Linked DNA regions of Stegostoma tigrinum. The protein of the gene in region 1 interacts with the protein of each later gene in a biochemical or structural test. Links are inferred from orthologs where the notes say so. Each region holds a gene or a part of one and is shown in the gene's direction. Other genes may lie near its edges. The genes, in order: claspin, usp20 and casein kinase I-like.

Region 1 (10,026 bases):
GTGGTGACTGAGAGATACCAAGAAGCTTGGGATCAAATCTCAGAGCTTTGGTTTCTGGGAATGCAGGCTTTTGTTAGTTGTGTACCTTTGCTACCATGGCTACCACAAAGTGTAATTGAATCAGAGTGGTTGAGAGACATTTTTGTTTTGTTAAATAAGAGTTCACCTGTGACCGTGGAGTTTGACCTCGTTGCTGCCTTTCAGAGTGTTTTAACAGAACTGGCCAAGAACAGCAAACCATGTAAAGACATTATGTTAAATATTGGTGAGGATAAAGCCAACCTGTATGGAATGGCAGCTTTGGAGCACTGTCTTTCTCAAAATTAATGACAAACCAACCTCGATGCAAACTGGCCGAGGAAAGCCACCAGTGCAGTGATTTGAAGAGGCTTGGCATATGGCTGTATTTCCAGGCAAAATGCTGGTGAAGATTTTTAAAAAATAATTAACATTTTATTTAATTTTAGGTGTTGCAGCGTTTGTCATTAGCTGGTTAAATTTGACTGCCCAGTTGTTTTTAAAAACTGGCTTTAATTTAGGAGGTGCAGCAACTGCACCTCTCCTGCCCTCATTATCTGCTGCACTCATGCATTTTCAACTTTGGTTGAGAAGTGCTAAAATACGGCCCACTTCCAGAAGATATTTCATAATCAGTATCGTACAATTTTTTAAAAAAGGGTTTTGACAGTTCTAAATCAGAAATGCAAGAAGTAATGTATGATTTTTACACATAGAAATAGCTTATCGGTTAATTGTACAGCTGCGTCGTTGACTAATAATCCAAGTTATTGAAAAGAAAACGTCCACTTCCGGTCTTAGCTCAGCTGGTTCTAAATAAAATTAGTTTATATAATTTTAATCCAGTTCTTAATGGGAAAGAGACCACATCATAGAAATCCTAGGATGTGGTAGAACTTATCCAGATCAAAATTGTCAGTTTGAATACAGTACTTTAAAGAAATTATATGCTGATGCTGTGGGGAGGAGATGGGCTTCCAAGTTTCAGTTTTAAGCCACATAGCTAAGGCAGAATTTCAGTATCTAACCACCTTTACATCGTACTGAATGAAAATCAGACGAATTTGGACAAGAATAGAAAAATCTAAAAAAAGCTTAAATTGGAATTGGCAGTAAGACTCTTTAACTTCATTTAGAATTGGATCCATTAAAGTACCATTTTGACATCTCATTTTCTGTGCAACGGTTTCACAGCTGGTAGATCTGTTTTTTGTTTCCCTGCATAGATAAGATATCCTTTCCATCCACTGACCCCCAAAAATGATTTGAACTAATGCTTATGCCTTTCATTATCTTTTGCAACTTCATCTTGGAGCACTGACTGTCCTGCATAACAGTCTGCAATGGCACAAAGTGTCCAATCCAGTGGTGGAAAAAATGGATTTGTAAAGGGCAGCAATATTACAGTTTGCAGCAGAAATGCCGTTGCTGTATGTCTTTCCTGGGCTACTGAGAAAATGTTTCCAGAAGGAGCAAAAATGGCTAGATATGTGATTTGAAACATTTGCTTGCTCAATTTGGAAATTGATGTCTGGAAATCAGTGGCAGTGAAACTCAGATATGATATTTGTAGGTTTTTGCCCTTTTTTTTAATTTTAAAGGGTCTTTCGTGTACATATGTCATGACTCTGTTGCACTGACGTCCACACTTGACCTCACTCTGTGTTTGTAGTGGGGCAAAGGTGTTATTCCTTTAGGTCCATTTCTGGTGTTCCATTGATGAACTTTATTTTAAACATTTTGGAATCTTTTTATGTGATTAGGTAGTATATATGTGTCGATCTGTCTTTTCTTTTACATTATTATAAGACTTGAGTAAAGTATTTTCAATCTAAATTGTCTAAATGTCATTTCTAATTCATCTAAACAGAAAATAAGTCTGAAACTATTATTTAAATGTTGAACGTAAAGTTCAGTAAAAGAACATGTACACTGCTTCTGTTGAAGAACATTGTCGAGAAAAACAAAACTGAAAGTAATTTCCTCATGTTACAGCTTATTTTACTACATTTTTGTGCTTTCACAAATTAAATTATTGCTGGCATAAAATCTATAATCTGTTAATTGGCTGAGAGAAGCAGATGGTTTTTTTTTAAATGAGGGAATCAAGGGTTAAAGGGAAAAGATAGGAAAGTGGAGTTGAGGTTTATCAAATCAGCCACAATCTGTTGATGGACCAAATGGCACAGTGCTGCTTCTCATGTTGTGGTCTGAAATAATCCACTGCAGTGGCACAGTGGCTTGGTGGTTTGTAGGAAGTGGGAGGAATCAAAAGAGACGTTGTTGAGGGTGAGGATGAGTAACTTCTTCCGATTTCTCCCACTTCCTACAGACAAAGGGGGTGGCCATGGGTACCCGCATGGGCCCGAGCTATGCCTGCCTCTTTGTAGGTTACGTGGAACAGTCCCTCTTCCGCACCTACACTGGCCCCGAACCCCACCTCTTCCTCTGTTACATTGACAACTGTATCGGCGCCGCCTCTTGCTCCCAAGAGGAGCTCGAACAGTTCATCCACTTCACCAACACCTTCCACCCCAACCTCCAAGTTCACCTGCATCTCCAACACATCCCTCACCTTCCTGGACCTCTCTGTCTCCATCTCAGGCAACCAGCTAGAAACTGATGTCCATTTCAAGCCCACTGACTCCCACAGCTACCTAGAATACACCTCCTCCAACCCACCCTCCTGCAAAAGTTCCATCCCCTATTCCCAATTCCTTTGCCTCCGCCGCATCTGCTCCCAGGATGAGGCATTCCACTTCCGCACATCCCAGATGTCCGCGTTCTTCAAGGACCACAACATCCCCCCTGCAGTTGTCGAGAACACCCTCGACCGTGTCTCCCACATTTCCCGCAACACATCCCTCACACCTCGCCCCCGCAATAACAGCCTAAAGAGAATCCCCATTATCCTCGCATACCACCCCACCAACCTCCGGATACAATGCATCATCCTCCGACACTTCCGCCATCTACAATCCGAGCCCACCACCCAAGACATTTTTCCATCCCCACCCTTGTCTGCCTTCTGGAGAGACCACTCTCTCCGCGACTCCCTTATCCGCTCCACACTGACCTCCAACTCACTCGGCACCTTCCCCTGCAACCGCAGGAAGTGCTACACTTGCCCCCACACCACCTCCCTCACCCCCATCCGAGGCCCCAAGATGACTTTCCATATCAAGCAGATGTTCACCTGCACATCTGCCAATGTGGTATACTGTATCCACTGTACTCGTTGTGGCTACCTCTACATTGGGGAAACCAAGCGGAGGCTTGGGGACCGCTTTGCAGAACACCTCTGCTCGGTTCGCAATAAACAACTGCACCTCCTAGTCATGAACCATTTTAACTCCCCCTCCCATTCTTTAGATGACATGTCCATCCTGGGCCTCCTGCAGTGCCACAATGATGCCACCCGAAGGTTGCAGGAACAGCAACTCATATTCCGCTTGGGAACCCTGCATCCCAATGGTATCAATGTGGACTTAACAAGATTCAAAATCTCCCTCCCCCCACTGCATCCCAAAACTAGCCCAGCTCATCCCCGCCTCCCTAACCTGTTCTTCCTCTCACCTATCCCCTCCTCCCACCTCAAGCCGCACCTCAATTTCCCACCTACTAACCTCATCCCGCCTCCTTGATCTGTCTGTCCTCCCCGGACTGACCTATCCATCCTCTATCCATCTTCGGTCCGCCTCCCCCTCCCTATTTATTTCAGAACCCCCTCCCCATCCCCCTCTCTGATGAAGGGTCTAGGCCCGAAATGTCAGCTTTTGTGCTCCTGAGATGCTGCTTGGCCTGCTGTGTTCATCCAGCTTCACACTTTGTTATCTTGGATTCTCCAGCATCTGCAGTTCCCATTATCTCTATTTGAACTATCTCCCAGTTTTCTTCACGTGCTTGTTTTGTCCCTTATCTTCACCCGTGCTATGCACTTTCACTACCAACTGTGGTAGTGGTTCTTTTTTATGGCTTTTCAGCTGCGAAGATTTCTTTTTTTCTGTTCTGAATTCACCATTGGATTTCTTGGTGACCGTCTTCTATTTGTGGCCTATGTAGTTATGCTCTGCCCTGCAGCCTCCTGAAAGAGAGGGTGAAGCAGAACTGATAATATTATTGCTGTACCAGAAAAAGTGAGGGGGACAGTTTGCTTTATTGTGTACCTATGTAATTCCTGTGTTATACTTGTGAATTTTTTGTGCCCTTAAAGCATTTCCACTTTAACAGATAATTTTAATCAATCTGTGTCTGATCTGTCATGACACACCTCTGCAGCAGATAGCACTTGAACACGTGCCTCCTGGCTCAAAAGTAAAAATTCTACTACTACATCACAAGAGACCTCGTTTCCGGTTACCACATAGAAATGGAGAAATGTTTGAAGTACTGAACGTGGTCTAGTGCAGGTTTAGCTTATGTAACTTCGTTACTTGCCAGTTTTAGTTTTCAGATAAAGCTTGGTGCTTGTATTTTTACAAAGATATTTGTTAAATGTTGGTGTAACTATTTCAATGTGTTTCTATTACACTATTAGTGTAACGCTGTTTGGATGTGCAAACTTTCTAATGTACACTATAGTGATTTTTCTGTAGTAATTTCCCTATAGCACGTGGGTGCACAAGAACTCAATTATTGTGTTACAGGGGAACTGCCTATAATTGTGCTTTGTGAGGGGGAAGACACTGATTTTACATGTTTTCTAATCTACCTGTTCAGAGATAGGAGTATAAAAACTGGAGGTCATTTAGCCCTTCCGGCCTGTTCTGATTGTGGCCACAGATCAGCCAGTAAACCTGCCTTTGGCCTATATCCCTCAATACTTTTGCTTGATCAAAAGTTACTGAAGTTTAATTTAGATAAATGTGAGGTGGTGCATTTTGGAAAGGCAAATCAGGGCAGGGTGTGTACACTTAAGGGTAAGATCCTGGGATGTATTGCTGAACAAAGGGACCTTAGAGTGCTGGTTAACAGGTCCCTGAAAGTGGAATCGTAGATAGATAAGTTAGTGAAGAGGGTGTTTGGTATACTTGCCTTTATTGGTCAGTGCTTTGAGAATATGAGTTGGGAGGTCATGTTGTGACTGCACAGGACATTGGTTACGCCACTGTTGGAATGCTGCTTGCAATTCTGGTTTTCCTACATTGGAAGGATGGTGTGAAATTTGAAACAGTTTGGGGTTGGAGGGTTTGAGGCTGAGGAGAGTGGGACTATTTTCTCTGGACCATCAGAGGCAGAGGGGTGTTGGCCTTTATAAACGTTTCTAAAATCATGATGGGCATGGATAGGATAAATAGACAATGTCTTTTCTCCAGGATGGGGGAGTCCAAAACTAGAGGGCATAGGTTTAAGATGAAAGGAGAAAGAGTTAGAAGGGATCGGGATAACCTTTTCACACAGAGGGTGGTGTGAGTGCCGACCAAAATGCCAGAGGAAGTGGTGGAGACTGGTACAATGTTTAAAAGGCACCTGGATGGGTAAATAATTAGGCAGCATTTAGAGGGATATGGTCCAAATGCTGGCAAATAGGACTAGATTTATTTAGGATATCTGGTCGGCAAGGACGTATTAGACTGAAGTGTCTGTTTGTGTTCTCTGAGTCTTTGTGGAAGAGAATTCTGAACTGCTGTGTAGGTGCTTGCTGCATGTCTCTTGAACGGTCCAGCCCAAATTTTGACATTATGGTTGCGAGTTCGAGAATCTCTATATCTTGGCTCAACTCTGGATGAAGTGGGATTTAAACCTAGGCCTCTTGGCTTAGAGGTGTAGACACCGTCACAGCATTACAACAGCAAAGCTATTTCGGTTTTGTGGGAATAGAATTACCTGCAAGTCGATCAACAAATCTATTTCAAATTTACCGCTGCAGCACAAGAGGAGAAAGACGCACCAATGACGGGCGCCAGGTTCCATCCTGGACATGTCAATCATTTGTGGGAACGGGCGGGGTCTGGTGACATCACAAGAGCGGGCGGGGTTTCGATACGCCTCGACACTGAAGGGGCCGGCTCGCCTCCAGAGTCGGAAACAATACAGAGCGAGAGGGCGGAGTATTGTGCGGGGCCCGTCACCAATCGGGAGTGGAGGGATGGCACTCTGCTGATGGAGCATGCGCTGAGCGGCTGGGCGCGAAGGCCGAAACCGTGAGAGTTTGTTAGTCGGAGGCAGAGCTTTCCCGGGCTGGAGCCGTTTGGTTTTAAAGGTCGTGATGAAGTTATTTTAATTGGAACGCTCGGAGCTGCTGAAGTCACACGGCCCTTTTCGACCTGACGCCTTTTCTTCCTCGAGTGTTTTGTTTTCCGTTAATTACTCCGCGATGTCAGTATCCGAACTACAGCCGTGCACGGAGGTAGGAGCAAAATGGAGGGAGGGTCTGCTGGGCCGGCCCCGGCTTGGCGCGCTGGCTGGAAGGGAGGCCCCTCTGCTGTCGGTCTCCGCTCCTGAGACCTACTGGGGATTGTACCCGCAGTCCACTCTTCTCGGTATTTTTGTCTGGCGAATCATCCTGTGCCTTCTGAAATAAAACAACAGCGTTGTGACTGTTGGCACTTTCAGACTTGTCAGCTGATTGTTCTTTTTAATCTCTCTGGGTTTAAATATGTCAGTTTCTATAATTAAAAGCCTTTCATATTTTAATGACGGCCTGTCTTTCGTACTCGATCATTGCAGATTTGTCTTATTTTCCAGCTGTCTGTTGTAGATTGTGAATTTATATTTTTTGGCGGGTGTTGTTTTAGGTTCGCTAAGACGATCCTTACAATGGGAGTTGGTAGTTGGCGGTTTCCTATTGATAATTTGGGTGCAGCATGCATTCACTTTCTACCTTAAATTTTCCCTCCCCTGTTTAATCACCGCCCAAAATTGTAGGCGCTACTTATGCTGCTCACTTTTTTTACCTAGTTCTTCTGTTGCACAACTTTTAAGCAATTAACTTTTATGAATTTGCAGTTTTAAGTTTCATTGTTTTGTACATCTTTTCGCAACTTGTGGAAGACTGCCATATACCTTTATGACTGCTTTGCAGTCGTGAGGCGACGTAAGGAAAAGCTTAGTAAGGTGAAATATAGTAGTGGCTGTGAAGGGATTAAGCTTACTTGTTTTTAACTTTTTGGGCAGTCACGCAGTTCCATACATTATTTTTCTCGTTAAATGAGCACGTAGTGTATTCCGTTTAGAACAGTGAGAGGTGAAATGATCCAAACTGTTTGGTAGTTCTGTGTGTGGCTAATTATCAAACCAGGTCATTCCTTGTCATTGGGCTAATAAACGCAACCCAAGCACTTGATATAATTTGGCTTTGATCTTCAGAGTCAGATCTTCAGGGTTCCAGCTTCGGTCCACTAGATTGGAATCTGGAATATGATATGCTAGCTTTTAGGCTAAATCGTGCAATGATCCAATGTAACGTGAATATTGAGTAAGAGGATAGGCAAACTTATTTGGGGTCTAGTTTAACTTAATATTTTGAGCTGGAATTTTTGGTGGCCTTTAGGGATTTTGGATCAAGTATTTAGTGAAACCAATGTATAAACAACATCTGCAATTCTGTTTGCAATCCCAATGTAGTTCTTTGCGAACAGGATGAAAAGCTTTGTTTAACTTTGGAAACACACACATAGCATTGTATTTGCATTGTAAGTTCCCACACAAGTATCAGATGCATCATCAATATCAGTTTTATCACACTAGTGTGTTTACAGCAATTAATCATTGAATTCAAATCAGCAATGCTAGCATTAAAGTGCTTTGCTGTTTGTTAGCTGAGAAATATTGGACTGAATGGTAAAGCAGTGTCTTGACATCCAGTATGATACTAACATTTCAGCAGCTATTCAGTTTTTGAGGTACTTGTTCCATGTTCTAGAAATCCATCCTGTGTTGTAGCTGCTTCCTCATTTGTCTCTTTGCTAGACGGTGATGGGTGCACCTAGAGAACGAAAGACATTTCATGAACTTGAGGTTATTTGGTTCTGTACATATTCTGAATCATTTACTTGCTGAAATGTAGAAAATGAAGTTTATATCTGTGCATGTTGGTGCAAAATCAACTTTAACTGTTCGTTATTGCAACATAAGCAGTTCGAAATGACCAAATTGTAAATGTATCAGCAAGTTCATTCATGTCATGGCTGCCACAAATAAGAAGCACAAACCATCACAAATCTTAGTTTGGCAATGGAATCCCTTTTGCTGTAAAATGCTATGAAGATGTAATTGAATACAAATAAAATATTAATCAACTTAGTTCTAACATAGCATTTCCGAGTATTTGGCTTGTAAAATGAACTAAAGCCAGAAGAGCGATTTAGAAAAGTAAGCAATAGATATCAAATTATTACGAAATGCTTCACTGAAATATTCTGCCATAGAGGTCAGCAGACTGTGCTTTCTAACTCAGTGAATTCAATGTGTCCAATTAATATCGAGTACATCAGAATTTCTGCGAAGGTTGTTGAAAGCAGTGAAAACGTTTGTGCTCACTTTCAGAGATACTTGCATGTCTTTAATTCTTTTGATTTCATGTAGTATCAAAGTAGAGAGTGTATGATTTACCCAGGTTTTACCTTGATACCTAATTCTTTCATGGGTTTCATTGTCAAGGCCAATGTTTGTTGCCTGCCTAGTTCCACCACCTGGCTTGCTTGGCCATCTCAGAAGGGAATTTAGAATCTACCAAGACACTCTGGATTTTTGTCACGGCCAGTACCAGATATGGGTGAAAAATTTCCTTCCTCAAGAAAATGCCCAAAAGGATATTAGTAAACTGAGGGGTTTTACAGAAAACAACCACAGGTTCATGAGAGGAGCTTTAGTTCTAGATTTCATTTGTTGAATTTAAATTCCTAACCTATCCTGGTGTGGTTTTAACTCAGTAGCCAGGCTTCTGGATTCTGGTTCAGTGACATTGCCACTATCTCCCACTTCAAACACTTTTTTCACCTGTATATTCAGCAAGGTATTTGAATGAGTTTGTTAAAAGGACACCAGAGCATTGGTGATGGTGTAGCAAAGATGTATGTCAATAATGCTGGTGTTGAGTTTATAACTAGCAAAGGCTCAATTATCTGGAACTTTTTGAGGAAAGACTGAGTGATGAAGTACTGTAAAATGATAAAGGGGTTTGATAAGATGGGTGCAGCATATGTTTTTCCAGTTTTTGGATATTCAAAAGGGTCAAAGTGCTTGATCATCTCTTAAATTTACGGCAAACTTCTTAACCTAAAGTGTGTTTGGAATGTGAAACTTGCTACATCGTTGAGCAGTCAAAACAAATAAATATGCATTTTAAGGGAATGCTAAGAAAAACCACATGAGGGAGAAAGAAATCAAAGGCTATGCTAGCAATAATAAATCAAGTTGGGTGGGAGGATGCTCAAGTAGAGCGTAAACTTTGACATGAACTGGTATCGCCAAGAAAGTTGTTTCTGACATGTAAGTCCTGTGAGATTTATTTGATTAATCTGTTTGAAGACTCCCTTGTATTTTTCAAATGTTTATGATCATCTTCAGGTGGAGGAAGTCTTTTTGCTTGAAATTGTGTTCAAAGAAGAATGCAACGGTTGTTACACGTTCTGTGTCTAACTTTCTCTCTTTGTGTGCTCACTTTGTAATCCATTTCTGTCGTATTCTAATTTTTCACCGAATGAGCTGTGACCAAAGTAGGCTCTGATTTTGTACTTTATTTCCAGTTAACATTTGGTGAAGAAAAAACAAATGACAGTGATAACGACAGTGGCAAGGGAAGTTATGGAATGGTCTCCCCACGTTCAAACAAAGACATGTGCCATGATGGTGGAGGTTTGTGTTCTATCATGTGTAATTTGTTTCAGCTTGCAAAGTTATTAGTTATTAATTCTCTATCATCAAATCCATTGTTTGTTCTGTGGAGTACTTTGTTACACATTTTCTCTAAGTGTGACAAATGTGAATATTTCAGATGTTAATGCTTCAGTGATCTAAGTTATCTGCTTTTACGTTAAAATTAGACTAGGATAAATTTGGGATCCA
Region 2 (10,570 bases), on another chromosome or scaffold:
AACTTGGAGCAAGCTTTCATATTGGTTGAGACTCTGACACATTTTGAGACTTTGAATTCAGTTCACTAATGCTGTGTTAACGGAGGAATTCTGCTGTCATCCCATGGCAAGCCAGAAACGCTAGTTTCATAGTGATGTACTTAACCGTCAATTGCGTCCCTGAAAGAGTCTTTTGACCACTCAGTCATAACGAACTAACAACCACTGATAAGCAAACAAGGACAACTGCTTCAAGGGAGCCCTCAGGGCCTCTTGGGTGCAGCTAGTGTCCCTACTCCTAGACTAAGAGGACAGGGTTTAATCCCACCTGTTCCAGTGGTGTGTAACAACATTGCTGACCAGGTTGATTGGAAAAAATAAGTCAGGAAAATCCACAAACAAATGAAAGGACTCTTCTGGCAGTGGTAGTGCCCCTACTTCTGGACTGTGGAGGCCAAGGTTCAAGTCTCACCAGCTCCAGAGGTGTGTATTAACATTGCTAAACAGGCTGATTTTTAAAAAATCAGGGAAGTCCACAAAGAACTTAAAGAGCTCTTTTGGTGCAGTGGAAGTGTCCACGCATCTGAGCCAGAAAACCTAGATTCAAATCTCACCTACACCTGAGGCATGTCATAACATCTCCAAAAGGTTGATTAAAAATACCCACGAAGAAATGAATGCTTTTCAGGGCTTTTGCAACTCTGATCCCAGGTTCAAGTCCAAACTGCTCTAGCACTGTGTAACAAACAGGTTGACTCAAAAATATCTGAATCATTGCTTTACTATTTTAACAACCATCCCGGGAGAATAAAGTGGATGCCTGTGGTCTCACAAACATTGACATGATTGTGAATGACCATAAATCAACAACACAGTTCGCAGCATTGACACTGGAATTCAGAAGGCTGAGAAGTGATCTTATTGAAATATACAAGATTGTGGTGCGTTTACTGTGTTTGCACAGGGGTGGGGAGGGGTAAGTGCTTGACAGGACGGATGTGGAGAGGATATTGCCCTTAGAGAAAAGATGAAAACTTGTTTAAAAAACAAAGGCTCTCCTACTTTTGAGACGACATTTGTTTTCACTCAGAGACTAGTTAGTCTGTGGAGTTCTTTTCGCCAGAGAGCAGTGGAGGCTGGGTCATTGAATATTTTTTAAGCCAGAAATAGAAGATTCTTGATTAATAAGACAGTATTAGCTACAAAGGAAAGTGGAGTAGAGGACGCAATCTTATCAAATGGCACAGCAGGCTGGAGGGGCCCTATTAATCAACTTCTGGCTCTGAATTAATCTGTTTTGACGAAAGCCTCGGCAACTGTGGCTATTTTCAATCTTCACAGAGTTAAAGGCATTTTTTGAGGACGAAGACTGAATTATGTATTGAACATGAGGCAGCCACCAAACTGTATGCATTCACTCAGAGGATGTTTTAGACTTCAGCAGTCAGCTATGGTCCAGAGCATAGGGTGGAGCTTGAATGTTATACTAAGGGACGGCCTGACTGTTGGACGTGTTGTTTCTCTGTTGAGACAAGAAACACCATGTGCCTGCTTGGGTAGATGTCAAATGATAGAATCCCCGCAGTGCAAGCAGAGGTCATCAGATCTGCACCAACCCTCTAAACAGCAACTCCTACTTTATCCCCATAATCCCACATTTACCATGGCTAACCCAACTAGCCTGCACAACCGTGGACTCCACAAGGAACTTCACCAATCCACCTAACCTGTACATTTTTGGACTGGACTAATATCCAATGGCCGCTATTTTGAAGAGCAAGGAAGCTCCTCCATTGTAAGAGCAAAGCAAGTGCTGGAAATTGAAGATAAAAACTGAAAATCAAAGCATAGAAAAATGGGTGGTGTGGAATATTCAGCTCATCAAACTCACTCTGCCAGTCAGCACAATCCTCCGGCTGATGCTCTATCTCAAATGCAAAACTATCCGAAATTCAGCAGATAAACAGTGACTAACTGGCAGACTGAACATGTCTGGAACACATATTGGAAACGTTCTGGGTATACTGAGCAGGTCAGACAGCATCCGTGGTTAGATAAAACGAGCTGACGTTTCAAGTCAAATATGGCTCTGATATCAGACTTAAAATGTTACTCCAGTTCTCTCTCTCTCTCTCTCCATAGATGCTGCCAGATCTGTTGACTATTCCCCGGGTTCTGGGTCGATATTTATCCTTCAATCAACATAGTTTGTTATCGTCACATTCGTGTGGGAGTTTGCTGGGCACAATCTTGATGCTGCGTTTCCTGCAGTACAAATAGCGCCACGTAAAGACAAAGACTGTCCTCTCCAGAAGCTTGAACCCTTAAAGCAGTTAACAGTTCAGAAATGGATTGAAGAACCTCGCCGGCTGGGCTATTCTTTGGGGCTGAGGGCAAGAGGCCTAGCTGGACCACTGAAGCCTCGGCTCTCACCTGACCTCCACCACCCTCTGCTCATCCTCCTCATCCGACTCTTCCTCTCTCCTCCTGCGGTAGCTCTTCCCCGCCGGCATTCCGGGGCCCAGTGCAACCTTCTTTTAGCTCAAACACAGTTTCTTTTCAAAACCCCGTTACTCACTAAACCACACCGACTTTCGCGGCAGACTGACAACGGAGGTCGGACCGAGGAACTTCCGGTTCAACGGACAGGTTCCGGCGACTCCCGGACTCCATTTCCCACAGTGCAGCGGGCACGGCATCATGTGACCCAGTCCCGCAATGTTGCCATTCTCACAGTCTGTGCAGTACAGATACTCACGCCCCGCAGGGATACTCACGCCTTCTTCAATAACTCACCCGAAGAAGCAAAACACTGGATTCTCGAGAAAGTCAGCAGTTTCTGTGGAAAGAAAGAGGATGTTGATGTTTCAGGACCGTTGCGAAGGCGGCTCACAGGATCCAAAGTTTACTCCAGGTCTACACCTACTTATCTCCGCGGGCCTGTTGAGTTTCTTCAGCAATTTCTGTTTTTGTCAAATGCAATATCCTTGCTCTTATTTCTTTTTACAAAAAAAAAATGTGGAGCTGGAGGAACACAGCAGGTCAGGCAGCATCAGAGGAGCGAGAAAGTTGATGTATTTTTCTGAAGAAGGGTCCTGACCTGAAATGTCAATGTTCCTGCCTCTCTGATGTTTCCTGGCTTGCTGTGTACCTCCAGCTCAACACTGTCTAATCTCTGACTCCAGCATCGGCAGTTCTTACTATCTCCTATTTCTTGTGGTCTTTTGTCCCCAGCGTATATCTCCTTAACCTTTCATGTTGTAAAAAGATCAACCACAATCTGAACTCATCAGTTTATTGAAGTATTTGTGTAGAGAGAGAGATACTTAATTAATATTTTCTATATATAAAATAATGGGAGCAGGATTATTATGCTCGACCTCTCAAGCCTGTTCTGCCATTCAGTAGGATCGTGGTGTTCTGATTACATGCTTGCATACCACTGATAATCTCTCACCTACTTGCTTATCAAGAATTTAGCTCCCTCTGCTTTAAAGATAATCAAGGACTCTGCTTATACTGCCTTTTGAGGAAGATGGGACCATCTATGAGAACATGGGAGGAATGAGCGGTGAGGGATGTCCCCCAGTATCTGTGTCAGCGGCGGTGAGGAAACGCTGCTAGGGTCACCAGAGAACGAACTAAGTGGAGGAGATTGGGGCCCCAGCATGGCTAAGCGCTCAAGAAAGACAGTTGAAATTTTAAATATTTCTTTATTTTTCTACTTAATATTAAGAAGAACTTCAATGTTAACTATTACCTTATCTCTTTATTTTTCTCGAGGTGGTCTGTAATGTTGAACTTTTAACTTTGTTTCTCTCTATCACTTTGTACCTAGATACCAAGGTAACTTGGTGACATTTGACACTTTTCACTGTACTCCTGTACTTGAGTACATGTGACAATAAAAAAATGTAAATTTCTTTCTTTTTTTCAATGACTGACCTCTAGTTCTAGATTCTCCCACAAGAAGAAACATCTTTTCCACATCCACTCTGTCAAGATTCAACGCCCGCCCACATTCCCCCCAATGATTTGAGATCTTGGACTTTTTATTAGAATTAGGAAAAATAGTTATCCAGATCCTTATAGGTTTTCAGCGCTTTCACTTTAGCCCTCAGGATTAAATTTTCTGTCATTCAATTTCTCCCTGTTGCAACTCTATCACAGACCTTTTCTTTCATCCTCGTCCCACTGAAAAATATTGAGAAGACAGAATAAAATAAGAACATGCTGGAGAAACCCAGCAGGCCCGGCAGCATCTGTGGAAAGGAATAAACACAGTTAATGTTTTGAGTTTCTTTGGAACTGCAAGTTGTTGGAAAAGTGATGATTTTGGTAGTGTAGAAAAAGAGGGAATGGAACATAAGGGAAAGTCAGGGCATCTTGGAACAAGGGTGTACACCAGAGCCCAATAACGGAGACTGGTGCTTTAAGAGGCCAAGATAATAAAATGTGAGGCTGGATGAACACAGCAGGCCAAGCAGCATCTCAGGAGCACAAAAGCTGACGTTTCGGGCCTAGACCCTTCATCAGACTGTCTGATGAAGGGTCTAGGCCCGAAACGTCAGCTTTTGTGCTCCTGAGATGCTGCTTGGCCTGCTGTGTTCATCCAGCCTCACATTCTATTATCTTGGAATTCTCCAGCATTTGCAGTTCCCATTATCTCTTTAAGAGGCCAACCGTGCTTGGGTCAGGAGGTGGGACTTTTTGTGATCAGGTTGGGAGCCACGTTCCCAGGAGCAGCACCAGGTTTTGTGATTCCTGTCTCTTGGCCCTGGATCGGAGCAACGTACCACAGAACAAAGGACAAAGTGAGGAGTCGGGTTGTGAAGAAGAGTCACAGGTCTAAACTGGTGTTTTGGTTTGGAGCAGTGTAGATGTTAACCGTAGATATTATAGGGCTACAATTGTGGCCTATGCCACCAGTAGGTGGAGCACTAAATTTGGAGTCTTGGTTTTAACTCTCATCCAACAACATGCCTGTTTTATAAGTAAGACCTAAAGAAATTACATTTGGGAGGACAGGCTGGATAATTGTCAGCATACTGGAAATTGCAATTTTATAATGTACGGATCCTCTCCGTTTGAAGAGAACCATTGCACTTTGCTTCCATTTACCCAACTCTGATCTCCCTTAAGAGCTGTCTCTTGGTTTTACATGTACCCAATCTAAGCACTTTCCTTTCAATTTTATGGCAGAAGCCTCTTCAGCTTTTTATCAATGATTGCCTTAACATACAACAGAACAACAAAGATTAGATGTGGTTTGCAATTGTTTAAAATTTTTTTGGACATGCACATAGACTTGACACTGCTGCATGGTTTCACCAATGGTACGTCATGAGTGCAAGTGGACACGTGCAGATGGATCGCAAAGGCTGTTTTAAATGGCAGTACCCTATTTTCTGCATTTGAAAGAAATATTCAGAAGCAAAACGGGAAGTAAGACTGAGCACTAGAAACTGATATGTATTATGGCAATGTGCACTGATACCATTTGAGTTGCATTTTGTCGATTTGCCACCATAAATCCTTTTTATTGTTAAGGATCTATGTTACATATAAAAATAGAAAATAGCTGCAGGGGCAGGTCTTTTGATACCTTAGGGCTACTCTGCCAATCATTATAATCATGGCTGATCATCTAACTCAATAATCCGTTTTCACTTTTTCCCCATACCCTTCAATCCTTTCTCCCCCAAGTCCTATGTCCAATAGCTTCTTGAAATCATGTAATGTTTGGCCTGAACTGGTTTTTGTGGAATCACATTCCAAATCTTGTGGAAATTTCTGAAAATGGCTTTGCAAGCCATTTAGACAGAGCACAATTGGGAATGGGTAATAAATGCGTGTTTCAGAATGCCTGATGTGTGCCAGTGACATTCACCTGCTAAGAAAGAATAAAGGTGGAAAATAATGAAAAACGGAGAGTTCTTGAGAAAATTGGCAGGTCTAGCAGCATCTGTAGAGAGAAAGCAGAGCTAGCTCTCAAGACCTGTTACCCTTCTTCAGAGATAACCCTTCTGAAGGGTCTAGGCCCAAAACATCAGCTTTCCTGCTCCTTTGATGCTGCTTGGCCTGCTGTGCTCATCCAGCTCTACACCTTGTTACCTCAGATTCTCCAGCATCTGCAGTTCCTACTATCTCTGAAACCCTTCTTCAAAACAGACCCACCCCAAGCCGCACCTCCATCTCCTACCTACTAACCTCATCCCACCTCCTTCACCTGTCCGTCTTACCTGGACTGACCTATCCCCGCCCTACCTCCCCACCTATCTTCTTTTCTCTCCATCTTCAGTCCGCCTCTCCCTATTTATTCCAGAACCCTCACCCCATCCCCCTCTCTGATGAAGGGTCTAGGCCCGAAACGTCAGCTTTTGTGCTCCTGAGATGCTGCTGGGCCTGCTGTGTTCATCCACCCTCACATTTTATTATCTTCAAAACAGACTTTTGTTTTAATTAAAGTAAGAAGCTGATTGTTTTGCTAGCATAAACTTTTTGGGCTGAATGGCCTGGCCCATGAGTCCTGGACATTCCAGGGCGTGGCCACATAGCACATGCGCACTATCCGACCGCTCGGGGGTGTGTCCCAAATGACGCCACAGCAACCGAACGTCATCCGGGAAAGCGGGAGGCGCATCGGTACGAACTACATCTCCCAGAAGGCTCAGCGGCGGCCTATGGCGTTGGAGGTCGTCTTCCATCCGGGCCACCCGTCGGGAACTACATTCCCCAGAGTGCACGCCGTGGCCCTGGAGCTCCCCAAGATGGAGACGGTGCCGCTTATTCTCTGCTGAAGGAAAATATCTCGTGAGACGTAAGCGGGGGGAAGGGATCGGGAGAAGAAGCGGGACCCGCACCGGGACATTGTAGGCGCAGGTACGCCCCGTGTCTTCCTTGTGCGCACCCGGCTGCGGATTTTGAAACTCGGCGCAAATGTACGCAGCGGTGCTTTTGTGTCGCTTTGAGGTGTCGGCGCTGAATGGGGAGGGGGCGCGGCTGGGTTAGGCACTCAGTCTGGGGGGGTGGGGGTTACAGCATGAGAGCGGGTGGGCACAACTTTGAGTCTTGGGTAGGGGGCCCCGTTTGGGTCTTTGGGAAGGGGTAGGGGTAGGGGTGTCTTGTGGGGGCGTGTTTGTGTCTGGGGGAGATCTGCTTTGAGTCTCGGGCAGGCGTTTGTGGAGTAAGTTTCAGAATCGGGTTGAATTGCAGTTGTGAGTCTGGGTGTGAGAAGGAGGATTTGCTTCAGAGTGGGGGGGTGGTGGTAGGTGTGTCTGTGCGTGCCTCTTCATCAGCCCAATTCGCTATCACCGACTTTTTAATGTGTATTTTCATCTGAATGTTCAGGTGTTTTGTTATTAAAGCCTAAAGTATCAAAGGCAATGTACACTGACTGCTGGGAATAAGCAGCTCAAGCAGTATTTTTGGCAAGAGGGAAAAAAACGTGATGGATTTCATCAGGCATTGATGTTTGCTTTGCTCCTTCCACCAATGCGAACAGAGCTGCATAATATTTTCTAGCATTTTACTTATTTGATGTTAAAATTAAAATGCGCAGCCAGTTCCGCTATCTGTGTAGCAGATTTGATGTTGAGATGGAGAAGCTGCTGACAGACAGAACCATTGGTCCCTCGCTGAGCCCATTGGCAACCTAGGTGGGGTTTGTGCAGGTTTTAACTTTTATCTGGTTTGAAGAGAATTGTTTCATGTTTAGCATTAGTCGTGTTCCACACCAATTAATTTTCAACTACTTCATCAATGACCTTCCCTCTGTCAAGAAATGAGGATGTTTGCTGATGGGTGATGCAATGTCTTCAGACACTGAAGAAGCCAGTATCTAACATTTTGAGCCTAGATGACTGTGTATCAGAGCTGATATGAATTTTGAACTGACCCACTGTGATTTCAGCACTTCCTGTTTTCAGTACAGATTCCAGCATCTACAGTAATTTTGCTCCTATGAGCCTGTACCTATTTGTTGCAAGATTTGGACAACATCCAGGCTTGGGATAATAAGTGACATTTGTTGCTGTTTAAGTCCCAGATGACGACCAATTTCAAGCAGATTGCATCTATGCATCACTCCTTGATGTTCAACGGCATTATCATCACCGAATCCCTCTATCAGTATCCTGAGGCTGACATTGACTAAAACTAAATTGGATCAGCCATCTAGATACTGTGACTGTAAGAGCAGAATAAAAGCTGGGAAATTTGTAATGACTAACTCCCCAGTGCCTGACCACCATCTGAAAGTCTCAAGCCAAGATTGTAATGAAGTAATTTCCACTTGTCTCAGTGAAAGCAGTCTCAATGACGTTCAAGGCATTTAACACCACTAATGATGTTGAAGTTGACTTGTTTGATACCCCATTGGCTACTGATACATTGGCAGCAGTAGCTACCATCGTAAGATGCACTGCAGCAATTCACCATCTCCTCTGGCACCTTTCAGGCCAGTGACCACTTTCACAACACTGGAGTGTGCTTGCATCATATGGACTGCATTGATTTAAGACCACCTTGTCAAGACAAATTTGGAGTTGAGCTATAGACGCTAGTTTCACCAGTGATACTCTTATCCTATGAATTAATTAAAAAGAAAGTCATAATGGCTACACAGTGGGAACAACTGAATTTGCTTGTAATTCCGCAAAGATTAAGTAATTGGGATTTGCTGAGTGTCAAGATTAACACATCAATAAATGTTGTCTGAACTGTGAGTCGAACAAGGAATTGTAATCCAAATAAGAATTGGGGCGTGTGATTGAGTGGAGAAAGGAAAGCACCTTTCTAATCATTATCGTATAATACAACACTCATTATCAGAGATGCTGTATTCTGAAGCAAGATATAATGCAATATTTTTTTGATAAGCGAAATTAAAAACTGAAATAACTGTGGATGCTGGAAATCAGAAATAAAAACAAGTTGCTGGAAAAGCTCAGCAGGTCTGACAGCATTTGCAGAGAAATCGGAGTTAATTTATTGGGTCCAGTGACCCTTCTTCAGAACCTTCTAAGATAAGCAGTCTGTTTCACCTCATTCTAATTTTTGTTATTTAGGAATCTTGCTGTGTAATGTTGTACTTTGCAGTTGTCTTTCAAGTGGAAATATTTTCAATTTACTTGCAATTTAAATGGCAATATCATCGAAATTTACAGACTTTTGTTTGGAAAGACATCACAATATAGAGTTGGTGTCACACTTGCTACATGGATTCTGGGAAATTAGAGATTCCAGCAGAGGACTAACAGGACATTTTTTTTTGAGTTAAGGATGTTGCCAGGATTGGAGAGCTTGAGTTAGAAGCTGGGATTTTTTTTTTTCGCTGAACCACAGCAGGTTGAGAGATGACCTGGTAGAGGCTTTTAAAATCATGAGACATTGATAAGGCGAATGGGAAAGGCCCTTTTCCCTAGGGTAGGGGAATTCAAAACTAGAGGGTATAACCTTAAGGTGAGAGGACAAAGATTTAAAAGGGACCCATGGACAAGTTGGACCAAAAGGTCAGTTTCTGTGCTGTTTGACTCTATCAGGATGTATTTTGTATTCCAAACCTTTTGTCTGACTATTCTAATTTTTTAATATATTATTATGTTGAATAAGCTTGCTGATGTTAAAGGCAAAATGTGCTGGAGAACTTGAGCTGGTCTGGCAGAATCTGGAGAGAGAAACAGAATTAATGCTTCAGTTCCACTATGACTCTTCTTTGGAGCAATTGGATACAAAATGTTAACTGTCAACAAATGTTGCCAGACCTGTTGAGTATCTCTGGCACATTGTTTTTATATCATATCTCCAGCATCCGTAGTATTTTGCTTTTAAATTAGAGACAGATTAATTTACATCTGCGCCTAATGGCAATAATGGGGCAGTCTGTTTGATCTTAATAGCTGTAATTTTTATTACAGTGCTGAAGTTTGGGAAGATGTCTGATACTACTGATATCTGCCCTCATCTGGATTCAGTAGGAGAAATCACTAAAGAGGAGCTGTTACAGAAATCAAAGGTAAAAGGAGTGCTACTATCGGGTAAATGCCTATGAAGTACAGAAAGTCCGAAATGCTGTTGAAGCATTTTATAGTCATTGCCGGAACTAAATTCTTGCGCTACCATGTTAGCAATAACAGTACAGGCAGTGTGGCCATTGATGATGTTCCTGTCGTGTCTCATTCTTGGCTTAGTGTAGTACTTTATTGTCTGTCTCAGGAGACTTTGAATTTAAGATCCACTCCGACAATAAGCGCTTATCTTGGCTGACATGTCACTGCAGAGCTGAGAAAGTGCTGCTTTTTTTTTCTCCCCAAGTTGTTCATGGTATGTGGACATCACTAGCTAGGCCAGCATTTCATTGCCCATCCCTAATTGCCCCGGAGAAACTGGTGGTTAGTTCCCACCAGAACCTCATTTCCATAGTAAGTAGGAGCACCCACAGTGCTTATTTTATGGGGGGACCTCAGGTATTTTGGCCCAGCAACACTGAAGGAGTTGCAATAGATTTCCAAGTCAGGATGGTGTGTGGCTTGGCAGGGACCTTGCAGGGTCATGGTGCTTCCACATATTTCCTGTCTTTGTCCTTCTAAGC
Region 3 (10,163 bases), on another chromosome or scaffold:
AAGTGTGGGGATGGAAAAATGTCTTTGGTGGTGGGGTCAGATTGCAGGTGGCAGAAGTGTTGGAGGATGATGCGTTGGATTGGGAGGTTGGTGGGGTGGTACATGAGGATGAGGGGGATTCTGTTTTGGTTGTTTTTGCGGGGACGGGGTGTGAGGGATGAGTTGCGGGAATTGTGGGAGACACGGTCAAGGGCGTTCTTGATCACTTTGGGGGGGATGTTGCAGTCCTTGAAAACGAGGTCATCTGAGATGCGCGGGAGTGGAATGCCTCATCCTGGGAGCAGATGTGGCGGAGGCGAAGGAATTGGGGACAGGGGATGGCATTTTTGCATCTGACAGCACCGCTAAACCTGGTACCAGGCTAGTGAACCTTTGTTGCACTCCCTCAACGGCAAGCATATGTCCTCGTACATAATGAGATCAAAGGTGATCATAATACTCTAGGGGTGTGGTATCACCACGTCACTGTATGACCATAGTAAAACATTCCTATTCTTGAATTAAAATCCTTTTACAATGAATGTTAATTTATCATTTGTCTTTCTAACTGCTTGCTGCTCCTGCCCCATTAACTCTGACTGACTGGTGTATCAGGATGTCCAGGTCCCTTTGTACATCTGCACTTCCCATTCTATCTCCCTTTAAATAATACTCTTCCTTCTATTTTTCACATTGGAAGACCATTTCCTTTAATACTCTGGAATGCAAATTGTCAGGCCCACAGCATCTGTTAACCCTTAACCCCATTTTGTTTCCTTATAATTCATGGGATGAGGGCATCACTGGCCAGGCCAGCATTTATTACCCATCCCTAATTGCCCAGAGGGCAGTCAAGGGTCAACCACATTACTGTGGATCTGGAGTTACATGTAGGCCAGATGGCAGTTTCCTTCCCTACATTAGTGAACCAGATGGGTTTTTCCAACAATCGACAATGGGTTCACGGTCATCATTAGATTCTTAATTCCAAATATTTATTGAATTAAAATTCCACCAACTTCTGTGGCGGGATTTGAACCTGGGTCCCCAGAACATTATCTGGGTCACTGGATAATACTTCTAGATCATTGCCTCCCCTATTAATTTCAATAATTCCCTTTAAGGTGCCTAATCAATCCCACTTCTCCTTTTACCACTGTTTTCCTATTTATTTGCTTATAGAAGACTTTTGCATTCCATTTTATGTTAAAACACAAGAATATAAGAAGTAGGCATTCGGCCCATCGGGCTGGCTCCGCTGATCTCATCTTGTCCTCAACCCCACTTTCCTGCCTGATCCCCCTTAACCTTTAACGCCATTACTAATTAAACATGTCTTTCTTTTCCTGAGATTTATTCATTACTCCAACTTCTACCATCGCTGGGGTATTGAATTCTACACATTTATGATGTTTAGAGAGAAGTAGCTGCCCGTCTCTTACACTTTTTCCTCGCTTCCCTTACTTCTATTTTCACTTCCCTTCTAAACCTTCCATTATTCAATCTGGTTCTCATCTGCATTATCTACAAGTATCCAGCAAATGCATCCTTTGACATCTTCTAGGTTTGAAATATGTCCAGAACTTTGATTATTCTTTTGAATTGCAATGCAGATTTTTATTTGGCTGTTCCAAAGTCTTGACAGATGACAGTCTACTATCTACAATGCTATAGTATATTCTACATCAGAGGATGTATTGGTACTATTGTTCAGTATCATGTGAATTCTTGGATGTCTTTCAATAAATTCTATACAGCAGGGATTTGGTTGCAGCTATCAATGGGAAGATGAGTTTGTTTATTTTGACAGGTTTATAAATTGTTTCGAGGACAATTTTTTAAAAAGTAAGTAGCGTGTTTATTTTGATAGATTTATGAGCTTCTCAAAGATATCCCAACATCATTACACAGCCTTTGAATCCCGTTCATATTGGAGTGGGTTATGGAGAGTAAGAATGCTGTGGTAGCTGCAGGATTGCCAATGTACTCATCCTCAGAGCTGGGCCAATGCATGGGCAAATGTAGGCTGGCCTTTTAACCTGGCTACCTTGGTAGTAGTTGTCTCCAATTCCATCTCTGTCCTGACTCAAACTTCCCTGTGGCAATAGCACGGTTGAACACTGCCAGTCAAAAGCCTAGACAATGTAGTTGGTCATCCTACTCTTCCTCCTGTGGGAAGAATGCACCTATTTACCGTACCTTAACAATACCCTGTTTAAAACTGGCTATTGTTCTGTTAGCATTGTGCCAGCCAATCTTTGGTTTCAATTTGCCTGGGCCAGATCCATTCTCACCATACGAAATTTGATCTATTGTGACTAAGGAAACCTCCTTTAGTTTTATTCTTGATTGGTATGTGGATTGTTGCCCATCCCTAGTTGCCTTTGAATGGCTTGGCCCTCTGGGCCATTTCAGGGGACAGTTAAGAGTCACTTACATTGCTGTGGGTCTGAAATCACACGTAAGCATGGCTAGATAAGGATGCTGGAATTTTCTCCCTAAAGGATATTTTCTTTCATTGACCAAAACCTTATGATATTATGATCACTCTTCCCTACACATTCTCTTACTGACAACACCACCTAGTCCATTTCGTTTTCTAGAACTAATCCAATAATGTTTTCTTTTTCATTGACATATTGTTGTAGAAAATTATCCTGAAAACACTTGTCCCTCTCCATCCTTGACACTGTTAGATCTCAAACTGTGTTAGGACAACTGAAGTCTCCTATTAATAGTACTCAATGATTATTGCACTTCACTGTAATTTCCTTGCAGATGTGTTCCTCTACAAGTTTTTCACTATGGGCGGTTTTTTGAACACACCCAGCAGTATATCAATGCCTGTAATGTTTCTTAGCTCTTCTCAAACAGATTCTGTCTTTGGCCATAGCAGTACGTCTCTTAATCCATTAACCCAGAATTCCTTCGTCAGTACTCCCACCCTCCACCCTCTCCTTTCTTGCCTTCCCTACAATTCCTGAATGATATCTACTGAGGAATATTTCATACCAGGTCATTAGTCGCACAGTCTTGCCCTTCTTCCAGCCAGAACTCTATTATTGCCACAGTGCAAATATCCTATGTTGCTATCTGCATCTGCAGTCCAACAATCTTATTTACTGCATTTTGTGTGTCATATCTGCAGGGTAAAACTAATTTAAACCTGATTACCTTCCCTCTTATTCTGATCCCATCGAATACTATACAATTTCGTACTCTCATACTTACTGTTTTTCTCTATAGACCTAGGTTTTCCTTTCAAATATTACATCCTGATTCTCACACACCTGTCACAGCAAGTATCCTCTGGGACATTGGTCCTGACAGTTTAGGTGCAATCCAACCAGGCTGCATAGCATTCATCTCCCCAGAATTAGCCCCAATGTTGCAAGAAATCAAAGCTCTCTCATCTTCATTATCACTACAGATTTAGCTGCTCCATCTCTTCTATGCTATACTCATGGACGTGTGGCTGGGGGATACCTATTGACATACTGTTTGCGTGTGATAATGGGAACTGCAGGTGCTGGAGAATCCAAGATAATAAAATGTGAGGCTGGATGAACACAGCAGGCCCAACAGCATCTCAGGAGCACAAAAGCTGACGTTTCGGGCCTAGACCCTTCAAGGCCTGCTGTGTTCATCCAGCCTCACATTTTATTATCTGACATCCTGTTTGCTGCTTCTTTCCTAGGTTCCTAAACTCTGTTGGGTCAGGATAATTCTATATTTTTTCATCGAACCTGGGTGCCATGAGCAAGGTCAGCATTTGTTGCCCATCCCTCACTGGTCTTGAATTGATTATCACTCCCAGCCATTTTAGAAAGCAGTTATGAATCGACCACATTGCTGTGGGTCAGGAGTCATAAGTAGGCCACACCAGATCAGATCAGCAGATTTCCTTCCCTAAAGGACATTGGTAAATTGGATGGCTTTTTATGATGATCAAACATGCTAGCCATCTGCTTTAGTGGAAATTAAAAAAAAAATTCTCAGGATGGGGCAGTTGAGGCCTAGCCATCATTTATTGCCTATCCCTAGTTTCCCTTGAGAAGTTAGTGATGAGCTGCCTTCTTGAACTGCTGCATTCTACCTGCTGTGGGTTAATTCAGAAAGCTGTTAGGAAGGGGATCCCAGGATTTTCACCCAGTGGCAGAGAAGGAATGGTGATATATTTCCAGATCAGAACGGTGAGTGGCTTGGAAGAGGACCTGCAGGTGATGATGATGTTTTCGTGTATCTAGAGCACTTGTACTTCTACTTGGCAGTGGTCATGACTTTGGCAATCATCAGTCAGGCTGGTGCTTGGCAAGCGTCTGAGACAGCTCTCCTAATTTTGGCACCCACCTCTCTATGTTAGCGAGGACGACTTTGCAGGGTCGACAGGTCTGTTTTGCCTGTCTCTGTTCTGGTTCCTAGGTTGATAGCCTGTCCAGTTTCATTTCTTTGAGGTTTTGTAATGATTGATACAGCTGAGTACAAGGATCTGAATCCTTGTCCTAGAAGCATAAGACCATAACATACAGAAGCAGCGGTAGACCATTTGGCCCAAATTCTTAACTTTTGAAAAATTGTTATTAAATATGCAATCTGCTTCATCATCTAATGAGATCATGGCTGACCTAATTGTTCTCAACTCCAATTTCCAGCCTTTTCCCCATAATGCTTGATTTCTTAATGATTATGAAACAATAAGATGTTGAACAATTGCCTGGGCTAATGGATGACTGGTGTAGTTAGATAACAGCACCTCACCATATTGAAATATCAATGTATGAGGCGGAAAGTCATGTAAATAGAGTGGGATACAGATCAGGTTTTGTCTATTTACATGATGGAATAAGCCCCAAGAGGTTGTCTCTGTTTATGGTGTGAATGACGAAAGCTCGCTACTTTTGGATGACAGGATGATGATGTATCTTTGGGGAATGCAGAGATGGGGGAAGATGGCGGTGTCAAGTATATCAGAAGGAGGAAGTTGTAGGGAGTTGGTATGGTGGCTCAGTGGTTAGCATTGCTGCCTCAGGGACCCAGGTTTGATTCCAATCTCGCAGTGAGTGTCTGTGTGCTGAGTTTGCACGTTCTCCCTGTGTCTGTGAGGGTTTCCTCCCACAGTCCAAAGATGTGCAGATTGGGTGGATGGGCCCTGCTAAATTGCCCATAGTATCGGGGTTGTGTAAGCTCGGTGGATTAGACATGGAAATGCAGGGTTATGGGAAAGGGTAGGGAGATGGGTCTAGGTAGGATGCTCTTCAGAGGGGCAGCGTGGACTTACTGGGCCGACTTGTTCCCACACTATAGGAATTCTATCTGTCTATGAAAAGCAATTCCGGCTCCTGGCAGGCAGGATGCCTTGGAAGGAAGTCACTAGACTCACTGCATATTTAGTAATAATTTTTCATTCATATTAATTCAGTGGGATGGAAATACAGAGCTTGACACCCAGGTGACCCATTGGCTCCAATACCAACCACAAGGCCTCTATGGGGCCATGTGCCGACCCGTGACGTCACGGCGCCGCCACCCCTCCCAACCCAAGGCACACTGACCCGGAAGCAGTTGCTGCGAGGCTGCTTTTCCGGTTTTGCTCCTGGAGCTTTCCCTTGTCTTCCGGAGGAGGAGGAGAGAGAGGAAAAAAGAATTCCAGAAAACAATCCCAGAGAAAAGCCCGGGACGCGGGACAGAAACGGCGGTACCGAACAGAGCCAGACGCGCAGTAAGTGCCCCGGAAGCCGGGGGGTGGGTGTGAGGGAGATCCGAGGGGCGCGGGAGCAGGAGCAGGAGCGATAACGGAGGCAAGAGAATAGGGAGTGAGGAGATAGTGAGGGAGAGTATGAGGAGGAGGAGGAGGAGGAGGAATAGGAGAAGGAGTGTGGAGAGAAAGAGGGGGACGAGACAGAGCGTGAGTACAGGGATGGGGAGTGAGGAGGTGGAGAGTATAGGGAGGGGTGAGGGGATGGCAAGAGTATGGGCAGGTTAGGGAGTGCTGGGGTAGAGGGAGTACTGGGGTAGGCGGGGAGGACGGGAGTGCTGGGGAGGTGGCGAGGGAGTACTGGGGTAGGTGGGGGGGTGGCGAGGGAGCACTAGGGGGTAGGTGGGGGGGTGGCGAGGGAGCACTAGGGGGTAGGTGGGGGGGTGGCGAGGGAGCACTAGGGGGTAGGTGGGGGGGTGGCGAGGGAGCACTAGGGGGTAGGTGGGGGGGTGGCGAGGGAGCACTAGGGGGTAGGTGGGGGGGTGGCGAGGGAGCACTAGGGGGTAGGTGGGGGGGTGGCGAGGGAGCACTAGGGGGTAGGTGGGGGGGTGGCGAGGGAGCACTAGGGGGTAGGTGGGTGGGTGGCGAGGGAGCACTAGGGGGTGGGTGGCGAGGGAGCACTAGGGGGTGGGTGGCGAGGGAGCACTAGGGGGTGGGTGGCGAGGGAGCACTAGGGGGTGGGTGGCGAGGGAGCACTAGGGGGTGGGTGGCGAGGGAGCACTAGGGGGTGGGTGGCGAGGGAGCACTAGGGGGTGGGTGGCGAGGGAGCACTAGGGGGTGGGTGGCGAGGGAGCACTAGGGGGTGGGTGGCGAGGGAGCACTAGGGGGTGGGTGGCGAGGGAGCACTAGGGGGTGGGTGGCGAGGGAGCACTAGGGGGTGGGTGGCGAGGGAGCACTAGGGGGTGGGTGGCGAGGGAGCACTAGGGGGTGGGTGGCGAGGGAGCACTAGGGGGTGGGTGGCGAGGGAGCACTAGGGGGTGGGTGGCGAGGGAGCACTAGGGGGTGGGTGGCGAGGGAGCACTAGGGGGTGGGTGGCGAGGGAGCACTAGGGGGTGGGTGGCGAGGGAGCACTAGGGGGTGGGTGGCGAGGGAGCACTAGGGGGTGGGTGGCGAGGGAGCACTAGGGGGTGGGTGGCGAGGGAGCACTAGGGGGTGGGTGGCGAGGGAGCACTAGGGGGTGGGTGGCGAGGGAGCACTAGGGGGTGGGTGGCGAGGGAGCACTAGGGGGTGGGTGGCGAGGGAGCACTAGGGGGTGGGTGGCGAGGGAGCACTAGGGGGTGGGTGGCGAGGGAGCACTAGGGGGTGGGTGGCGAGGGAGCACTAGGGGGTGGGTGGCGAGGGAGCACTAGGGGGTGGGTGGCGAGGGAGCACTAGGGGGTGGGTGGCGAGGGAGCACTAGGGGGTGGGTGGCGAGGGAGCACTAGGGGGTGGGTGGCGAGGGAGCACTAGGGGGTGGGTGGCGAGGGAGCACTAGGGGGTGGGTGGCGAGGGAGCACTAGGGGGTGGGTGGCGAGGGAGCACTAGGGGGTGGGTGGCGAGGGAGCACTAGGGGGTGGGTGGCGAGGGAGCACTAGGGGGTGGGTGGCGAGGGAGCACTAGGGGGTGGGTGGCGAGGGAGCACTAGGGGGTGGGTGGCGAGGGAGCACTAGGGGGTGGGTGGCGAGGGAGCACAAGGGGGTGGGTGGCGAGGGAGCACTAGGGGGTGGGTGGCGAGGGAGCACTAGGGGGTGGGTGGCGAGGGAGCACTAGGGGGTGGGTGGCGAGGGAGCACTAGGGGGTGGGTGGCGAGGGAGCACTAGGGGGTGGGTGGCGAGGGAGCACTAGGGGGTGGGTGGCGAGGGAGCACTAGGGGGTGGGTGGCGAGGGAGCACTAGGGGGTGGGTGGCGAGGGAGCACTAGGGGGTGGGTGGCGAGGGAGCACTAGGGGGTGGGTGGCGAGGGAGCACTAGGGGGTGGGTGGCGAGGGAGCACTAGGGGGTGGGTGGCGAGGGAGCACTAGGGGGTGGGTGGCGAGGGAGCACTAGGGGGTGGGTGGCGAGGGAGCACTAGGGGGTGGGTGGCGAGGGAGCACTAGGGGGTGGGTGGCGAGGGAGCACTAGGGGGTGGGTGGCGAGGGAGCACTAGGGGGTGGGTGGCGAGGGAGCACTAGGGGGTGGGTGGCGAGGGAGCACTAGGGGGTGGGTGGCGAGGGAGCACTAGGGGGTGGGTGGCGAGGGAGCACTAGGGGGTGGGTGGCGAGGGAGCACTAGGGGGTGGGTGGCGAGGGAGCACTAGGGGGTGGGTGGCGAGGGAGCACTAGGGGGTGGGTGGCGAGGGAGCACTAGGGGGTGGGTGGCGAGGGAGCACTAGGGGGTGGGTGGCGAGGGAGCACTAGGGGGTGGGTGGCGAGGGAGCACTAGGGGGTGGGTGGCGAGGGAGCACTAGGGGGGGGGTGGCGAGGGAGCACTAGGGGGGGGTGGCGAGGGAGCACTAGGGGGGGGGTGGCGAGGGAGCACTAGGGGGGGGGTGGCGAGGGAGCACTAGGGGGGGGGTGGCGAGGGAGCACTAGGGGGTGGGTGGCGAGGGAGCACTAGGGGGTAGGTGGGGGGGTGGCGAGGGAGCACTAGGGGGTAGGTGGGGGGAAGGGAGCACTAGGGGGGTGGTGGGGGGAAGGGAGCATGGGGAGGGGCGTGGGGGTGAGGGAGGGAGCCCTGGGGGAGTGCAGGGAGGGGAGTAAGAGCACTGGGTGGAGGCGAGTAAGAGCACTGGGTGGAGGGGGAGGGGCAAGTACTGGGGGGAGGGTTACCTGGGGGAGTAAGGGGGTGTGATGGGAGTGGGGTGTGCATGACTGGATGGGGAGGGATGAATGCGACTATGGGGGTGGAATAAGTGAGGAAGGGGTGGGGGGGGTTGATGCAGGGGAGGGGTTTATGCAGTGGATGATACGGGGGGAGCGGAGAAGGAGAATATGTGGATTGTTGAGAGGAATAGGTGGAATGTTGCAGACTGGCTTCTGAGGGCCAACACCGGGGACAGTTACAGAAGTATTGTGAGGAAATGGGGGAGGTGATATGGACAGAAGAGGAAGAATGGTTGTGTTTTCATGTTTTCTGTTCTGTTAAACTGTTGAAATTAGTATGTTTGAATTTGAAGTAAATTTTAGATAGAAAACTCTGGTTTGCAAATATGAAGAAAGTAATGTGTTAAGGTTGGGAATGAGGGATTCAAAAGAGTTGGCAGTGTAGAGGCATAAAGATAAAAGCTGGCCTGGGTAGGTTGGGTGAGTCAGTGGTAATGGACTGAAGCAGGGTGAAGACTGGCAGTATAGATGATGGAAAAATTGACTCAGATCAGAGCCAAATATTGACTGCCAAATGTGGGAGCAGGTGGCATGCTGGTTGAGAAAGGGGGAGCGTGGGACTAGGAATGGAACGAGGTTCAAAATACAAGTTGAACGATTGAGTCAGGGATGAATTACAGTCAGCAGAAATAAACAGGAGTGGTGATTCAGCTTGGTTTTGGATATCTTGTTACAGTTTTTCTCCCAGAATTGCTGCTTCAGAAACTTAATCTCTTTTTAAGCTGATGTTTAAAGCTGCAAATTGGGAAATGGAGGAAAATGTTGACTGGCTGTCACTCCTCTTGCCTGCCTTACCTGTTGTTTATTCCCTGTTTCTCTTGTGGCTTCATGTAGAAATTTTGATGTGCAACAGAGTACTAAGCAGGACCGAAAAGGAGAGAATAGAGTTAAGGTGCAAATCTGCCAGGATCAAAATAAATGGGTGAAGGTGAAGCACATGTCTGTATTAATATTTTGATCACTGATTCTGACAAGCTCCTTGGAAGTTCTGTTATTCTCTATCTGTGTGTCTGTCTGTCTGTCTGTGGTGCGGAGTGGTGCATTTGCTACATGAGAAGGCAGAGGAGTCCCTGGTAGCAGAAGGGCTGGCATTTTTCAGGTGCTGACTCTCAACCTGACAAAGCTCATCTTCCTGCTCTCTGCCGAAGGATGCGTTTTTTTTTGTTCCCCCAGCCTTGCCTCAATGCAAAGCGAAGCCATTATGTTAAAAGTATTTGAGATGGCCGGTTTATGGGGAAGCTAAATACACAGACACGAGAGAATGTGATCCAAGATTCTGTTGATAGACTGTGATGAAAAGTGGAAGCAGGAGACTGATGTGGAGCATAACACCAGCATGGACAAGTGGGGCCAAATGGTCCCTGGTATTGCAAAGTGTGTGCAGTTTTGTCAGATGGAAAGTGTAGGTGTGAGTTAAGAGGCAAGCGGGGAAGTGTCTTTATACGGGGTGGTTTGTATGTGGAATGAACTGCCAGAGAAAGCGGTGGATGCGGATACAGTTACAACATTTAGATGTTTGTAAAAGTGTATGAATAGGAAACGTTTAGAGGGATGTGGGCCAAACGCAGGCAAGTTGGACTAATTTACTTT

What was found.
Region 2: of the proteins of claspin (region 1) and usp20, one has a biochemical effect on the other in vitro, tested with the Homo sapiens proteins (2 studies listed by BioGRID, with this or other methods). The link is inferred for Stegostoma tigrinum from reciprocal best matches to the Homo sapiens genes CLSPN and USP20.
Region 3: of the proteins of claspin (region 1) and casein kinase I-like, one has a biochemical effect on the other in vitro, tested with the Homo sapiens proteins (2 studies listed by BioGRID). The link is inferred for Stegostoma tigrinum from reciprocal best matches to the Homo sapiens genes CLSPN and CSNK1G1.

The regions. Positions count from the first base shown.
Region 1 is NC_081377.1:22,638,156-22,648,181, reverse strand, and holds the start of claspin, read left to right. Parts: upstream 1-6,138; 5' UTR 6,139-6,334; coding exon 6,335-6,367; intron 6,368-9,707; coding exon 9,708-9,816; intron 9,817-10,026. Other genes in the region: ncdn (neurochondrin), read left to right, coding at 1-327.
Region 2 is NC_081382.1:39,294,459-39,305,028, reverse strand, and holds the start of usp20 (ubiquitin carboxyl-terminal hydrolase 20), read left to right. Parts: upstream 1-6,730; 5' UTR 6,731-6,861; intron 6,862-9,896; 5' UTR 9,897-9,913; coding exon 9,914-9,994; intron 9,995-10,570. Other genes in the region: c29h9orf78 (splicing factor C9orf78 homolog), read right to left, coding at 2,413-2,492.
Region 3 is NC_081389.1:5,501,101-5,511,263, forward strand, and holds the start of casein kinase I-like, read left to right. Parts: upstream 1-5,562; 5' UTR 5,563-5,698; intron 5,699-10,163.